Linked DNA regions of Nothobranchius furzeri. The protein of the gene in region 2 purifies or fractionates together with the protein of the main gene of each other region. This does not show direct contact. Links are inferred from orthologs where the notes say so. Each region holds a gene or a part of one and is shown on either strand. Other genes may lie near its edges. The genes, in order: fmr1 and tdrd3.

Region 1 (9,281 bases), on a different chromosome or scaffold from region 2:
CGAATGCCTACCTCATCCTCGTGTAATCAGACTTTTTGCTGTACTTGCCAAGAACATACCTGACAAGTACACAAGAATGTACTAGTGTACTTGGGTATTGAGAAATGGCCAATGAGTGAACCCTTTCATTTCTTCTAACAAACAAATGAAATATGTGAAGCTAAATAAGCTTTATTGAATCACAACAGTGAACAGAACACTGTCATGCTTTGATTGATCTTATCTCCAAAACCCACAGAGTCCCTTTTGTTTCTTTGATGACCTTCAAAGCAACAGGAAGTCCCAAATGCCTCATTTAGCTGAATCAAATCACACTAACAGATGAATCCACACACACTGCTAGTTTCACATTTAGGCAAACAGAGGTAATATGCTCCAATACACACACACACGGCATGCAGCAATTTGAATCAGTAGAATAATTTGAGTAATCTTGGGGTAATGATTAGGGATGCACCGATGGATCGGCATTTGATCCCAATCGGCCGATAGCGCCCCTACTGGTTTTGATCGGAGTTTTCAAAATAGATCAAAGCAGACCGATCAGGTAGGGTTGTCACGGTAACCGGTGTAGCGGTAAACCCCGGTAAAAAAAAGTTGACAATAATAATAATAACCATCTTGTTTTAAAAAAAAACTATATTATCTCGGTGGGTTTACCGTGGCTGCGGTGTAGGCCCCGTGACCCTTACCAGCCACCGTATCATCTGCTGAAGTTGCCGGCGGCACATGCGCACTTTGTTGTTTACAACCAAAACTTTGTTGAAGCTAAAGCTGAAATAATGGCCAAAGGAGGAGACGGCAGCGCTCAGGACATTTATTATCCCTCAAAGAAGACAAAGTGGGAAGTATGGGTATGTTTTGGATATGTGAAGAATGCCGAGGGACAGTTTATAGAAGACGGCTACCCTGTTTGCAGCACGTGCAGAAAAAGTGTCTGTGAAAGGCAGCAACGCTTCAAATCTCATGACACATCTGCGTGACCATCACCCACAACTCTACAGTCAACGCAAGGCAAGCTAACGTTAGCGTTTTAGCTAAAATGCGTGATCCGAGGATTTGGGTTGAGGGAGAACGCAACGAGTCGCTATATAAAGCAGCCGCAGCGCCGCTACCTGCATATAAACCGTGTCGCGGACACCGCCATGTTGAAATGACGCTATGCATTATGGGGCTCCCAGGGGCAGATAAGAGTTGGTCTCTCCCCGAGAATAATTATGAATTTAACAATGATTACTGCCTGATGACATTTTCCCACATCTGCAAAGCTCACTGGAAGGACACAAACCGAGGACAATATTCTCCTGATATAGGGTTTGTTACTCAAGTAAGGGTAAAAAAGTATCTGATTAGAAGGCTACTTGAGTACTGAGTATCATCTGATCTAATATTTTTAAATGATGACATCAAACAGACATAAAATAAGAAGTTATGGGCAAATATTGGTATTTTAAAGACTAAAGGGAAAAAATGTAAACAAATAAACAACATAATTACAAAATAACACATTTTAGGCTAAATTTAGACACAAACTGAGGACAATATTTCCTGACATACAGGGTTTATATAATTGTGTGAAAATGTAGCACGTTTAAAAAAAATACCACAATAATACCAAAAACCGTGGTAATTTTGGTCACAATAACCGTGAGGTTATATTTTCACACCGTGACAACCCTAATACAGACCATTTTAGATTAGGTTACATTTCCTTTATTCCCAGATCATGTAGTTTGTAGCACTCATTATAATGTTGTAGAAAATTTCTGGCCAATCCACGTGATCGTGATCGGTATCGGTGATCAGCATTCTTTGATATCGGTATCGGTGATCGGCAGCAAAAAACCTGATCGGTGCATCCCTAGTAATGATCTGGGTCATTTCAGCTTTCTATCAGATCTATTGAGACATTCTATAAATTTTAAGTAGGTCAAAATTGTTTGTTCTTTCTACAGTCAGTTTAGGTAAAAAAAATCAAGATCTTCATATATTTTCACATAGAATGCATGTGGGAAAAGCCACATTGCTCACACAAAAGGGAGCCTAAGTCATGCCCATCTACTTCTGGACCAGACCCCAGAAGAGCAAAAAAATGAATGCAAGTCAACAGGGCTAAATCCGTTATTTTCTAATCCCATTTGTTACGTGCCACGGATTTCACATATGATGCCTGTACATTTTAAAGATTTATTTTGATGCCAACAATGCCCTTATTTTAGGTTTTGGGTGAAAATATGTCCAGGACTACAAATGCGCATCACCGTCATCATCGAACCAGACATGGAGAAAAGCAAAGGGAAAATGGTTGTGAGTTTAACGAACCTTGAATCCTTCCTTCATGAGGAAACCACCATGAATCCCGCCATTTTTGCAGCTAGATCTTCTCGGAGATACTGTGGTGACGCCATATACGCAACGTACCAACGTCTGATGTTAATTACAAATTTTTACAAGCTGATAAGTCTCAAAGTGCGTGACTGGCATGGTCAAAACACACATCATTAGTTCTCACTTAAATTGAAGTACAACATACGGGCGATTCAGGGCGTAAGGCAAAGCAGATTAGAAAATGGCTCTTTCAGCCCCTTGACTTGCATTCATTTTCAACCCGGGCTGCTGCCAGCGACAAAACCGGAGCTAGGATCCAGCAAACAATTACAAAATCATTTAGCACAAGTTTGGTGTAATATTGTGCTGCACAAATAAAGACAGTCACAGCTGGGATAAAACGTTCTCAGCACGAGCTGCAGGTCTATGAAGAGCTAAATCACTCCTCTAGAATTTATCTTGGTAACCAAATTTCCAAAACAGGATATTTATAACACACTTAATTTGTTCTGTATAAGTAAATTATAAGTATATTTTCTTTTTGAAGTTAAAACTTTGGGAGACTCCAAGATTCTTCTATTTTAAATGAGCAGTGGTGACTCAGGGGGTTAGGAATTCATCCTGGAGTTGCTGCAGGTTCTAAACCAGGCTGCTTGAGCGAGACACTTCTCCATCCGTGCCTGCTTATGGCGGTCGGAGGGACCGGTGACGTCTTGTTTTATTTGAACAAGGACAACACAGAAAATAGTGTTTTATTATTTTATTATTACCATTGCTATTCTTTGCACAAAATAATTTTTAAAAGGAAAAATCTAGTTTGCACTGACTGGTTAGGCATTAAAACAGGTACTGTAAAGCTCATTTAACTTTGATTTAAAAATAAAACCAAGGAAATTGAGTTTTCACTACTTGAAAAAGATATTTAGGAGCCTAAGCCAAAGACAACAGACAGTTTTAATGCATGTGGCTGCACACTGAAAATTAATAAAATAAATACCTCTGTGCAGAGTTGGTTACAAAAGCCAACAAAACATTAGGATTCAAATGTGTTTAACTTTCACTCCATCCATCCATCCATCCATCCATCCATTGTCTGAATCCGCTTTGTCCACGTAGGGTCAGTGCCCATCTCCAGCGGTCAATGGGCAATCAGGCAGGGTACACCCTGGACAGAGAGCCAGTCCATCGCAGGGTAACACACACACACACACACACACACACACACACACACACACACACACACACACACACACACACACACACCTAAGGACAATTTAAACAGACCAATCAACCTAACAGTCATGTTTTTGGACTGTGGGAGGAAGCCGGAGAACCCGGAGAGAACCCACGCATGCACAGGGAGAACATGCAAACTCCATGCAGAAAGATCCCAGGCCGGGAATCGAACCCAGGACCTTCTTGCACCAAGGCAACAGCTCTTCCTCCTTCCCTTTCTTCCAGTTGTTTATTTTATGTGTAAATTGGTTGTGTCTTGCTTTGAAAATGTTTGAGCTGTTTTAAACCTAACTAAATCTGGAAATTTCATTAATCCTGACTTCATAAAGAGTTAATGAGTGTGGGCTCTATATCCTGCTTGATTTATAAATCTAATAGACCTTTTTCAGCATTAAAATTAAAATGTAAAATGTTAATTGGTTGTAAATTTGTCTTGTGTGCATTCCCCCAGACTGTTGCACAGTACGTCGGGTATGATAATAGTAATGTACAATATAAAGTATGAAGATCTTTGCTGTTAAAACATCCTTTAGTTTTACCCAAAATGGCAAGCCAACTTCCTTTGTGGCAGTATATTTATTAAAAATGCTAATTTAAACGTTGGTTGATGCACGTAAGCACAAAGACTAGGAATTTTGTATTAATCCAAATGACGTCAAAGTTAAGATATTTCTACTACCCGCAGAGAGCAGAGAAACTCTCAGGTGAGAAGAAGAAAGCGAAGACGTGACGTAACAGAAGCGCGCAGATGAAGAATTATGGCTAAACAGTTTAGCATATAATATCTAGGTAGGCTCTTCAAAGCGGTATAAATAATTATTTTTATTTCCTTGTCAAAAATGAACACTACCAACTTTTTAGATATCACAAATTTCCAAAACAAAAAGTCATATACATCTAAAGTAACGTTGGCTATCCAAAAATTAAAGAAAAACTAAAAATATTTGAGGAAACACGGAATGTTCAGTATTACATTGTGACTAAATTTAGACGTCGATAACCAGATCAATGAAGAGCAAGTATGTAATAACAAATAGCCTACATACGAATCCAATTTAAAACGATTGATGTACTTTACTATAAAACAATTAAAATAATTATTACAGCCGAAATAGTCTGTCCTACTCAACAATTTTAATCCTTACAAGGTAAGAAATTGTTGTGTAGCACAGCTAAAGTCCATGTCCAAAACCAACTTAGATCTAGGTACGATTAAATGTGACAACGGCTTGCTGTACAAACCCACACTAATCACACATTACCGTAACAGGCTAATACAAGCTAACCTGGACAGTCTGTTGCCTTTGATTTTTCAAGCGGTCTAAATTTCACATTCGGAAGGAGCAGGACGAAATATTAAGACGCTGTGCAAAACGGGAATCAATATTACCGACGTTCGCGGGTACCTCGGCCTCTTCTTGCACGCAGCTCGCAGGAAGCGGTCTTTGGTTGAAAACTGATCTTGGCTAGCGTCAGGCTAGCCAGCCAGCTAGCTGGCTGCTAACGTCGCTAGCGGTAGTTAGCTAGCTAGCTAGTGAGCTGTAGTAAGTTGCGCCATGGAGGAGCTGGTTGTGGAAGTGAGAGGGACGAGTGGAGCCTTTTATAAGGTAAGTGGGCGAGTTAAGTGGAGCTTTCTGCTACCGCTCACTGTGCAAACAGCAGCCTAACTAACAACCAGGTTTACTGGGCATCTTGTGTGTGTACGGGCCTGCGTGTTCAGCCCCATCCAGGATGCGGAGGCTGGAAACAAATCCAAAAACAAAACCGTTGCCATCTCAGTGCTTTTAGTGAAATTAGTGACCGAGTCGGGATGCCACTGCAGGGCTGGCGTTTTCCTGCAATTGCTAAAATGTGTTTGTGGTGTGTTCCTGTTCAGTGATGGAGAGGAGTGGTCACTCACAAATGTTCACGATTCAACCCAAGAAAGTCCCAAATAAATACATCAGCGTCCAACTCTGGTTTTCAGATTTGTCCTCCCTCAGTGGACCGGCTGTTTCTATAAAGTCTGATTAGGTTTTGTTTTTAATATCCAAATATAGACGTTTGTATTTATTACATGACTTATGTCAATCAGTGATGGTACAAACACGTTGACACAGAAAGCTAACAGTAGCTCATAAACACGTTTAATGTGGAATAGGGGACAGTAGTACATATTCTACTACTGGAGTAGTGGGATCAAACAGTAATCATAATACTAAAGAACATCAGCTAGGTGCCAGCTAAATGAATAAGTGGTGTGGCTGACTGATGAATTTAGTAAATACAGTCATACAGGTTGGTACATGGGACTCATCTTGCTGAGTTTAATTCTAGTTGTAAGGAGACATATTATTGAACTTAGCTTTCATTTTTGCCTTTTTGTCTTGTCAAACCCAGCTCTTTTATAGAATTTGATCTAATTTTTTATAGAAGGTCTGGGTGTGGTGCTGCCTTAAAACAAAACCATACAATGGACACAAATGCTTCTGCCGCCAAGCTGTTTAGCAGGTTTCATTCTCTAAATGGTCTCACTTATTAAATGTTGTTGGATTTAAAATGCCTTGGAGAAGTTTGAATGTCTCTGCAGCTCTTGTTAAAGCCATACTTTGCAACTTTTTCATATTTTTAAATCATTTTCTTGAGCCAGTATGTGCTAAAATGACCCTTTACCCTTGCTGGGACTTAGAAAATAAAGCCTGGTGTGGCAGTCTGCTTCCAGCACATTACCTGCATGTTTTAGATCATGAACACAGCTGTTTTGTTTAATTTGGTGACGAATCACTCCTATAGACACTAACGAAGGCTGCGGAAACATTTCAGCTGTTAAGCCTGACCCCTTCTTTCCACCGGAGCCGTCAGCAGCACGTTACTGCAGCAGCACGTCTTGCTCGCGTAAGCTGCTGCTTGGCCCTTCCCACGAGACGCGAATCAGCAGGGGAGCAGCTGTCACCGACAGAGCTCGAAGTCACACGAGTGACTTCGTCAGTAAACACAACAACAAGCAGGAGAAAATTACAACATGGCTCCAAAAGGTTTGCGTTTTATGTTCTGTCCATTTTATAATCCAATACGGACCTGAAAAACAAAGGAGGCCGCTAGCTAGGTGATAACTTCTCACGGGGCCGCACAGTTAGTAACTATTTTTTAGAGTAAAGCAACCGGAAGGCAGGACATTTCTTTATTCTGAAAATCTCGGGAAGCTTCGCTCCGTTTTTGCGTCCGATTTCCTGTCTTTCCTTCCCCAAAAATGTCGAACTTGACCCGTTTCAGAGGCGTAGCGCGTAGAAAATAGAACCGGCGCGTAAAGGCCGCGGCATGCTGCTCCTGAGACGCGGCCGACTCGCGCTGCTGACGGCTCCGGTGGAAAGAAGGGGTCAGTCATGCTCCTGCGTCAGCTCCACAAGGGACAGACACGCACGGATTGACAGAAGCGTTTTGCTCTCATACGTCCTCGTTTGCTGAAGGGGTGTTGCAAAGCAATTCTCCGCCAGGACAACAGAGGGCGTAATGTAGGTAGCAGTACAGTGACATCGTAATATTTCCTTGGAAATCACTTCTGCGGTCTGAAAATGGCAAGCAACACGAGAAAGAGTAGTTTGATCGAGTTGGAACTGTGTAATCTAGATGAAGAAATGCTTATCTTGCTGAAATACCAGCGAGAGCATAAAAGGAGACACCACACAACTTCCCACGCGACTCTGGCACTGTTGACAAATTTAAAGGAAATGGCGTCATGACTGAAGTGATCTCAGGTTTCTGGACTGGCCAATCACAAGCGCCTGTTCTCCATCTCGTTCAACGGATGTTAAGAAAAGTGGGCTCGACTCCATACGTACTTACGTGCCTGTCGGGGGGGCCTACGCAAGAACAGATGATGGCGTTGAGTGTCTCCGCATTGACACAGAAGCAGAAGCATTACTCAGCCATTAGATTAAGGTGTTAAAAAGACAAACGCACAGCGAGGAGACAGGTTTCATTTTCACTTTGATCACAGAGAATTAATAACGGACACTAGGGGGTGCTAAAAGCAGCCAAAACTGCCAGTTGTTCCTTTAGGCCAGGGGTGTCAAACTCAAACTCACACGGGGCCGAAATGAAACTCTGGGACGGAGTCGAGGGCCAAACTTCATATTTTTTGAAAAAGTGACGCAAATTTGCACATTTTCTGTATCAACATATATGCAATTTTGAACCTTTAAATTAGGAAACAAACTTATTTCTGCATTAACACTGAATGTGGAATAACCAAATTACACACGAGCAAGTCCGTTTTAAATAAAAGGCATCAGTGGTATTCATTACTTGTGGTATAATCAGCATTTTTAAATCTATTCAGGATTTATGTTTTCTTGTTTATTCATTTTTCTTATTTTTTATTCTCCTTTTTTCTCCTGTAATACGTGTCATCGCTGCTGTGACGTCTAGCTTTCCCCACTGAGGAACAATAAAGGGATTTTCTATTCTAGTCATCTATCTGCAGCCTTTCCACTTCCTGTTTACTGTAGGTTAAATCTTTTCTCACGGGCCAACAACAAAATAAAAATATCATTTCATCTTAAATGAAAATGCAACATCTCACCTGTTAACTTTCATGTTTTGGAGCAGAAAAAGAGCATCAAACCAACATATTTAAAGCTCAGTTTGCTCCACTGGTTTACTGTGATGCTCACCTGTTCCAGCCAGATACCTGCATCATGGGGTTGATCTGAGCTGAGGAGGAGACTCCTGTTGTTTTGTTCATCTTCATCATAATAATGACAACATTAGATGACAACAGGTGCTCACATAGGTTTGTGCTGATGAACATGTCTGAGCTGCTTGACCGCGTTGTTGTGTGTCGGGGAGGAAACACAACCACAGAGTCGTGCTGGTTTGAGCGTGTCGCTGCTCGCTGGAGTTATATCAGCTCTGTCTGGACGTTAGTTGGAAAACTTTCTCTTTCAGTCGTGAACACATTACTGAGCGGCTAGAATCTCCGTTTCTGGGCTTCAACGTCAGAAAACAGCTGAGTGAACTCGGCGCTGAGTGAGAGGAGTGTTTAGTTTGTCCGAGACAGCGGAGCTGCAGACACCCAACTACCTCTGACTGCCTCGGCGCTGAAAAAACACAAAGGAGGGGGCGCGTCGGCTCCGCGCTGGCGCCGCAAAGCATCATGGGAGTTGTAGTCTTTGCGGTAAAATCGGCCAGTGGGCCAGTTTTAATATATTTTTGATATTTATCTCGCGGGCCGCCTTGACTCTGACATATGTGCTTTAGGCAGGTGAGGTACTCTGGGGCTCCCAGCCCTTGTCTTATTTTTAATCGAGTTTTTGGAGGTTGCTAGTTTGCTAACTTAGGTAAGTGGCTGGTGGGTATCTGGTTAACTTGGGTTTCTGGCTTTTATCAATGTTTTGGTTGGACTTTTGGGATTGAGTAGTGGTTTTTTATCTATATCTTGTATACTGCTTTTAAGTGTTTTGATTAACTTTTACAGCTATACTTTGTATTTCTGTGCTTTTCTTTATGTGCATTGATTGCTTTGGGCACTATTTGGGTCAGCTGCCTTGCTGTTTTATAAGTGCTTTATAAATAAACTTGGTGACAATAGATAATAGAAAATAAAAAAAATTTGCAGAGTTGAGTTATTATTACAGTAGCATATTGCTCAGAAAACATACAAATTAGTTGCCCACCATTTGAACCGTTGAGCGTTTTCTTAATTATGTAGCCTGTCAGTCAAAATTCGGGCAAAAAAG
Region 2 (9,295 bases):
TAATTGTCCCCTTTTTATATCACTGCCTTACATAGTGAACAGTCTTGTAATCCATCTCATCCTTCCTTGCCACCCACTTATGTTCTCACTCACACCAAAGCCAACACGTCCATCAGAAACACTAACTACTGCTGTTGGCTGCCAGAGAGTGTGTGCGCCGCTCATAAAGAGGGGATCTGTTCTGTTCTCTACTCTCCCCCCATCAGGAAGGAAAGGCCCATTTTCTGGCCACTCCACCTGTACAGACTGGTCCGTCACCATGGCAGCAATCACCAAGGCCACCGTTGCTTGGACGCAGAAGTAATTAAGGCTGCAAGTCGTTAAATCAGCTGCCACCAAGTGGAAATTGCAGATAAAGGCAAAAATTCAGACATGTGGTGGGGTGAGAGTGTTGACAAGGAGGTGAAGGAGGAGCGTGTGTGCACAGAATCGTACATGTTAGCTTTGAATGGGTGACGATAGGGCCAAATGCATGCTGTTCTGCATTTAGACTGCTACAGAAAATGCTGTTTAGTTTATTTTTTATTTATTGTTTTCAAAACTTTACAGTTTTATAATTTATCCATAATTTCTGAACTGTGATATTTAGTCATTGTTGCATTTTTTTTCCCACTGTTGCTGGTATATTAGAGTACACGAGCACAAACACACGCACACACACACACACACACATGCACGCACACACACAAAGGGGGAAAAAGTGGCACTTTTACCTAAGCAAATCTGACTAGCCAATATTAACGTACAAAACAATCACATTAAACTGCATCTGTTGGTTTGACCCCCCCCCCCCCCCCCCCCCCCCCCCCGGCCCCCATACCTGATCTTGGACAGATGTTTATACTCTAATCCAACACAGGTGGTGTGCCCATCTGTCATCTGTAGGCGCAGCATTCGCGGTGCACCCTGGGACTCCTCGTGGTCTTTAGGAGCAGAGATGTTTCTCACCTTCTGCACCTGGAGGACGCATGGACCCTCCAACTGGAAGAGAACAAAGAAAATTGGTCTGAGAGGCAAATCTGCTGCAAAGCACTGAAGATAATAACAGATATGGAAATTAAATGGCTTTGAGACTTTTATTTTCAGCTTATAATAGAACTGGTTTGTTCATTCTTCCATTTGAATTTACATTGCTTTATTTTTATTTAAGAGCCTTTTAAGGAGAAGGGTCAATATTCAATGTTTTAAAAACTAAAACATTTTCTAAGTTTCACAAAAAAAAAAAAAAAAACTTAAACACAATATTGTTGGTGTGTCTCCGCCATCTAGTGGCTTCCCTGAGAACTGCACCGCAGCTACTCATTTACAAGCATTTTCCAAACACTTTCTGACATAAAACAAGGGCAGTAGTGCTTCACCACTTAGCAGGAAACCTGTGAATTTCTGTTCCACTTACTTTCTCAGTTCTTCCACTGTTGATATCAGAAGGTAGAAATTTTCTCCCAATAGGCCTAAGATCATTCTGCAAGAAACACACATCATCGTAACAAAAACAGTTATTACACAAGTCATAGTAAGAGTAAAGCAGGAAAAAGGCTGATTATGAAGCACTGAAAGTTTAATAATTAACACGGCCCTTTTTGGTGAGCATCTAATGACAATGATTTAACAGATTTAGTTACAGACCTGTGCATCATACTGAGGCATGTTCTGACATTGGTTACAATAAAAAGAAGGCTCCTTCTAGGTACAATTTATCAACAATTAATAATAGAAAGATGTCAGGAATTTGGTTTGTTTTCACATTTAAATAATTACTTAAAACTCTTTAATTGCATATTCCGGTAAAACCAACCCCCATTTTATGGCCCTCTAAGCTCTGCCCTGAAGTTAAAACATGCCGAATGAATCAGGTGCACTGTGATGTGTCCAAGTGCCGTCTCAGATCTTTTGGCAGTGCTCCAGGCCAACCTGAAAAGGTCAAGGCTTCTGCTGTGAATGCAGCTCCTGTGTTCTGTACTCATCTGATACTGTGGGTCAGATAAGCCGCCTTTGTAATTTTCCTTTTGTGAAGTATTTAAAAAACTTGAGATCCTATGAACAATGATAGTGTCCTTTTATGTATTTATGCAGCTGCTGTTTCGAGAACACACAGCTGTAATTTAACAATTGTGATGGTTGAATAATTTTATCCTTAAAAGTGTGGGACACTTTAATCAATACATTTACAGTGGTCTCTAGTAGGAATGAATGCCTTGCAAGTCGTACTCAGGGGAAGAAAAGCACAGATGCGCCTGTTTTGGGAACGAGCAGAATGCCACGTCAGAGGAGAGCTTAACAAGGCAGGATTTGGAGTCTTGCTTCCTGATATTTGGATATGTCACTTCTGACTGGCTAACAACAATGCAACTCTACCACCAACTCTGCTTGCTCTGCAACGTTGATGTTTGATCTCCACAAATAACTCAAGCCTGAAGGAGTTCTACTGTGTGGTGGATTTACTAATGTGGTTAGCTTCTACTAGCCGAGATGTTCTCTGCTGGATGCTAACACCAACAACAGTCTCCCCCATCACAAGTCAACATGGGTGAGTCCATGAATGTTAAGTGACAGTGTGATATAGACCTGTTAGGATTTTCAAATCCTAGAGTTTCACCATCTAATTTCTACCAGAAGATAATGCAGGAGACAGGTGTAGGAGACTATATACATGTTCAGCCTGCATGAACACCTCAACAGGGACTGCTTATAATCAGAAATAACAAGTAAAGAGTAGGGATGAGCAAGTACACCACTATCTGTATCTGTATCTGTTCAATCATCTAAATTATCTGTATTTGGAGTGGGCGTGGCCTAACCTGGAAGTGTGTGCAGTTTAACCGGGAGTAGGTGTGGTTTACATCAATACATTATTTTAAGTCTGAAACTGATATGGACTGATCAGAAGTTGCTATGTGTATTGTTTATATAAACACTATTTACAGAGCAGCCTCAGAATTGAGATTACATATTTTTGATCACAATAGTAAAGAAACTATTACAGAACAAGTTTTTCAATAAAATCAGAACATTATTTATGAGCATTAATTGAGAGAGAGAGAGAGAGAGAGAGAGAGAGAGAGAGAGAGAGAGAGAGAGAGAGAGAGAGAGAGAGAGAGAGAGAGAGAGAGAGAGAGAGAAAAATAAAACAAAAAAGCCCCGAGCAGAGCGGAGGCAGTGACCGACGCAGCACGAGCTGTTTTTCAGCTCTGTCTTGTCAAATGCACCATGTAAGTTACAAAAAAAAGTAACTTTAAATATTAAACTGAAAAAAGCGAGCTGAGGAAAACCTAGGGAGTACTGAAGAAATGTGAGCAACAGTGAAGCAAGCACAGAGAGATCTGTTACTGTCTGTGTGTGTGCGTGGATAAGCCGGACGCGGACTGAGCTCCCGACTGCAGAGTTTTGTGTGTAGGGAGGGGCGAGCGCTCTATGTGACTGGCCAATCACAGAGCGTGAAGGCAGTCAGATACCCAATGAGGATTTTCCTTCAGCACGATTACAGATATTTATGAGTTTTAGTCACTTCATGCTCGTATTCGTCAAAAATGCTTTATCCGCTCATCCCTAGTAGAGAGGGTTTATCAGTGTTCCACAACTTTAAAAGTTTCATTTTCATTCCAGATATTGTGTCAGGAAGGCATCAGACAAACAGACCAAAGAATGAATGAATGATGGAGAAATGCACCTGAAGCAACTGAAGATGATAGAATCAAGGCAGTTTTTCAAAAAATGACTTATAAATTCATGCTAAGCAAAAGATGACAGCAAACATGCTGACTCTTGGATAACTGATGCAAAAAAATGTGACCTTTTCCATTAACCTTTAAAATGCTTTTCACATCCATTTTCCTACCCAGACTACTGTCACACCACAAAAACACTAAGAGAATACAACTTACATTGAGTGCAATACGAATGATGTCAGTGTGTGTTATTTTCTCAGCCGATCCCTTCAGTTCTGCTATGCCGTCATCACTGAGGTACCTGTGAGATATGACACAAGGAGAAGAGGAAATAATGCTGAGTAAGGTGAGCCAGCAGGAGAGCAAGTCTTTCATGCAGAAGACATTGTTTAAAATATTCTGAAACCCAGTGGGGGTTAAATCTCCAGCTGTTATTGTAAATTATTGACTTTCCTCCTAAATTTACTGATACGAGCAAAAAAAGAGTGTTTGATATGATGCACTAATTAGGCAATCAGACTTGAAAAGTAAGAGAAAGTCAACTTTGCGTAGAGTTCAGTTGTGCAGCATCCTCTTATTTAGAAAAGTCTTACAATTTAATTTTACATGGTTACAACACTAAATGCAGCTTTATTTTGCTAAATTAAAAGACTTAAGAACTTTATAACGTTTCACAAAATAACTAAAGAGGGCAAAGTCTACAAGTTTCATAGATCCACTAAAGCATAAACAGATTTTTTTCTCTAGTGCATACATTTAATGTATCACTTTAATTACGTTAAAACTCAAATAAAAAAATAGTCAATACAATTAAAAGTCCTGCACAAAACGCTCAGGTAAAACAACATAAACAAAAGCACACTGCAGAGAACATAATGTAAACAAACACTCTGGTTCAATCTGATCAATATTTTGGAGTTAGAACTTTTTGTAGTCTAATATTGATTACATTTTGCATTATTATTATTATTATTATTATCAGCAACATTACAAAAGTAACACCGACTGTGAAATTAAGCGAAGCCAAACATTTCTGCAACTGGGAATTTTATTAGTGTTGTTTGTTGTAAAAGGTGTTAAATATGCACCTGCGTCTGAAATGGTTCAAAACACATTTGTCTCTCAGATGTACTCCCGCAGAATTTCACTACAACATGAAACTGATATATTCATGCTAAATGAATGCATTTCTGAGGGAAATAAATACATTTTGACCAACCACAACATATCAATTTAATAAAACTGTAATTGCCTCGTTGGATTGTTGAAATTTCTAAAAGAATAACCAGAAATTAAAGTCAGCAGCACTGTTAGTCGTCGTTTCAAAAGCACTTGGAAAACGAGCTGTTTGTTCAGGTTTTGAACAAGTGCCATCGGGTATCAGTGACCGAACCTGCACGCTATTACGGATTCTTGTCTGACGCACGAAGTAACGTCTGTCTGCTTTCAAATGCTACGTCTGCTAAGTTAAACCAGCTAGCAGACGTGTGGTTTCTGGTAGTCGTGTAGCTTTCCAACTATGTTGCTACAAGTCGAGCAGTTCCGAGTGTTGCTGTTTATTCTCAAGTATTAAAAAGGGCAACGTGACGACTAATTATTTTATTCAACAGTTAACTGACAGCTCAGACGGCTAGCAGCACCATTGAGCTACCATGCTACCTACCAGCCCTCTTTGATCAGGGACTCTGCTAGATCGGTCATTTTCGTCCAGTCGAAGATGTGTGAATAAACACAATCGTCGGTTTATAAGGGGACCACCTCAAGAACGATTATCTGATGCTACAATGCATATTATCCTGCAAACAAAGCTCGTTAATGGGAACTCTGAATGACCCAACCGTAATTACGTCACCAACTGAGACGCATTGTACGAGTACGGCGTGCCGAGAAGGTCAAAATACATTTAATTTCCACACAATCGATTTTACTGTAATTCTAATGGTTAAAAGTGCTTTATAATCAACAAAAATACAAACACATCCATAAAGACAATTATTTTAAAAGTAACAATTGACAAATATTTTTTATTTCCATCCTGACGCGTTGGTACAGCATCCATATGAAATGACATATGAACTCAATTAAAAAGATTAAAATCCTACATAATGTATCTATCTATCTATCATCTATCTATCTATCTATCTATCTATCTATCTATCTATCTATCTATCTATCTATCTATCTATCTATCTATCTATCTATCTATCATCTATCTATCTATCTATCTATCTATCTATCTATCTATCTATCTATCTATCTATCGATCGATCGATCGATCGATAGGGCAACTGGACTTTCTCTAATATATATATATATATTGCAAAAGTATGCAGCCCTGAAAGAGGCTTTGCAGTAATAGTAATGACTATAGTAACTTAAGGGAAATGTATTTATAATTATTGCTTGACTGAAGTTTATTTTTATAAGCAGTTGAAATAGGCTGCATATTGCAGTTTTCTCCATTGGTTTGGCTCATTTCTTGAAACAAAAATTTCATTCTCAAACCTCTAAAATCATTTGGCAAAACACTCTTACAGTTTAGCACAACACCTGCAAAAGCTCATATCTCTTTCAAAACTGTTCACTCAGGCTTCAATCTAAACCCCTTTCTCATTTAACCCTCCCACTGTATTTATGGGTGACCCTGCGAGGAAAGTTGACCATAGAGCAGGATTGATGGTTTATCCCTTGAGGTCCATGTGGCAGGGGTGAGGTGGTGCTCACTCCTCACCCCTGCCACATGGACCCAAGGGATAAACCATCAACCCTGCCCAATGGTTAACTTTCCTCGCGGGGTCACACCCATTAGGACAGTGGGAGGGTTAAACAGTGTCTCCAAAATGGCAAAGATCCCTCTCAATAGCTTTGGCTCATTTCTCGACACAAATCGGACATTCTCATCCTTCTTGGTGCTTTTGTCAAAATAAACATGGATAGTTGATCATAACAGCGTGGTTTACCTGCAAAAGCTCATATCTCCCCTAAAACAGCTCACTCGTGTGTCAAAACTACATTTCTTTCTAATCTGAATAGTCAGTGTCCCCAAAATGCCATTCTGTTGTGAACATTTGCCAAAAGGTTTGGAGGTTTGTCCATGTTATTTTGAGAATGTAATTTCTGTTTCAAGAAATGAGCCAAACCAGTGGAGAAAAACTGTAATGTAAAAGTGGTGACTGAAGGAAGACACTGACAATCTTTATTAAAAATAAATTAAAACGCACATCAAACAGAGTCTGTGTCAAAGTTAATTGTTGCACTTAGAGATGTGATTTGATTGACATTTCATTTGTGTCTTTTCTCTTTCAACTGAGAGGAGCTCAACAGCCTAACAGACAGTGGAACAGATGAGGTCTGAGTCATTCTGTTGGATGTTGCTGCAGGAGGCAGTTACTGACCATTTTTGTCTGCCTGATGATAGTGTTGAGCAGAAGATGCTGGGTGCGGCCCATTACAGCCACCAGTTTCTTCATGCTTCTCTCCTCTCCGTGTCCACCACCAAACCAGCTTTTCTCATCAGTCTGTCCAGTGTTGCAAAGAATCCACAGTCGTTTTACTCAGATCCACTTATACTGAAATCCAAAATGATCTCCATGCCAGAATGTAGACATATCCACAGTACAGTTTAACATGGCACCTGTCATAGACAATTACTGTTGCCAAACAGCTTGGCATATTAAAATACTGTAGCTACAAATAAAAGAAGCACAGCACTAAATGAGAAGTCCATAGGATGCATAACTATTTATAATATTAGTGATCACCAACTAGAATATTTGTTTAAAAATAAACATTTTGTGCTTAAATCAGGGGCCCTAATTAAAATTTCATGCTGCACAAATATTGTTGAGATATTTAAAGCAGAACAAGAGAAACAAGAGAATCATTAGTAGCAAACCTTTCTTCTCCTTCATTTAGCATCAGAAAGTTTATTATTTGTGTCATAAACTTCATGTCGCATTTCCACAGAGGAGTTTCAGCTGCAGAATAATAACAGGAAAGGAATTGGACTAAATATTTGTTCAATAATCATGATAAATGAGAAATGACATAAACTTGTCTAGTACCTTTCAGAGTCAGATGACTCCAAAGTGCTTTACACTACAGTGCATCATTCATCCATTCACACACTGGCAGGGATGAGCTACGATGTAGCCACAGCTGCCCTGGGGCTCACTGATGGAGGTGAGGCTGCCAAGCACAGGCACCACTGGTCCCTCAGACCACCAGCAGGCGAGGTGGGTTAGGTGTCTTGCCCAAGGACACAACAGCAGAATTCTCCGTCCGAAGCTGAGCCCAGGGACCCAGACCCCACCAGGCAGCCACCGGGATTGGTCAGGCAGATGCCAAAAATCTTAAACTCCCTGACCCGGGAGCCACGACCCAGGCAGACCAAGGCACCGCACTCCACACCAGGTGTGGCAGGGAGAGGGGAGACAAAGATCTTCCGACAACCTTCCGATTACTGAACAACCCGTTCAACTTGTTGAGCTACTGCTGCCCCATGTCCTATTGTGTTAACTAGGTTTATATTGATGATCTGTAATTGATTTTGCTGTGTTTTATTTTCTAATTTGTATTGTTGTGCACCTAAATACATGTTCACTAGAACTCATAGTCCTGGTATTAATTCCACAGCCCCACCAGCAAACCTCTAATATTTATGACTGTGTCATAGTGCTTATAATTAATTCAGTGGGACTTCCAGCAGCAACAGGCATGAAAGTGAGATTGATTGATTGATTGACTGATTGATTGATTGATTGATTGATTGAGTGATTGATTGATTGATTGATTGATTGATTGATTGATTGATTGATTGATTGATTGATTGATTGATTGATTGATTGGAAGCGAGACAATAAATGTATTTTTAAAAGTTGCAAAGTTAAAAGAAGTATTTCAATTCAATTTATTTATGTAGTGCAAAATCACGGCAACAGTCATGGCATGAAGTAAAACATTCCAGTAAAGTTCAGTTTATTAAGCCAACTAGTTTAAATGTCTTTTAAGGAACCCAGCAGATAGCATCGAGTCACTGACTAGTGTCAGTGGCTTTTACAGCCAGTAAATCCTGCTTTTGGATGAAGGATAATATAATTGTGACGTGATCAGTTTTAATTAGAGACATTGAGAAAGCTTTTAGTTAAATATGAAAATCTAAATAATATTATTTTTGTTTAAGAGAATATATTCTAGCAGAAGCAGTTAAAATTTGAAGGTATTGTCCATGCTAATGGCAAAAACTCAAATAAAAATACCAGTCCTGTAATCTGGTGGTGATGTATTACCAAGGTCCACATGATGGCAGTATTTGCTCACTTAGAACGGTTCTTATTCTGAACCCCAGCATCAGTAAAGGACCACACAGGTAATGAAGCTCCGTGATGAGCATGACGTTTCCTTAATTAGGCCAGAGACTTTCTCTTTGTTTTTCAAAACCAAACAAAGCTTTCCAGTTTGTTTGTTTTGTATAACTAACAAAGCTTTGATATGAGGATGAACTGTTTTGTACCGGATACAACCACAGACACAAAAGGCCATATCATATTAGAACACAATCGATTATGAAAATGTGTAAAATACCCTTTGTAATTGGTCTACAACGTTATATCATTTATAAGTTAATATCC

The links.
Region 1: the proteins of tdrd3 (region 2) and fmr1 purify together in Homo sapiens (affinity purification with mass spectrometry; 4 studies listed by BioGRID and IntAct, with this or other methods). This does not show direct contact. The link is inferred for Nothobranchius furzeri from reciprocal best matches to the Homo sapiens genes TDRD3 and FMR1.

Annotation. Positions count from the first base shown.
Region 1 is NC_091741.1:30,651,471-30,660,751, reverse strand, and holds the start of fmr1 (fragile X messenger ribonucleoprotein 1), read left to right. Parts: upstream 1-4,241; 5' UTR 4,242-5,120; coding exon 5,121-5,171; intron 5,172-9,281.
Region 2 is NC_091749.1:38,763,001-38,772,295, reverse strand, and holds the start of tdrd3 (tudor domain-containing protein 3), read right to left. Parts: upstream 5,505-9,295; 5' UTR 5,367-5,504; coding exon 5,329-5,366; intron 3,967-5,328; coding exon 3,882-3,966; intron 1,463-3,881; coding exon 1,397-1,462; intron 982-1,396; coding exon 821-981; intron 1-820. UniProt on the Homo sapiens protein: Scaffolding protein that specifically recognizes and binds dimethylarginine-containing proteins. Plays a role in the regulation of translation of target mRNAs by binding Arg/Gly-rich motifs (GAR) in dimethylarginine-containing proteins.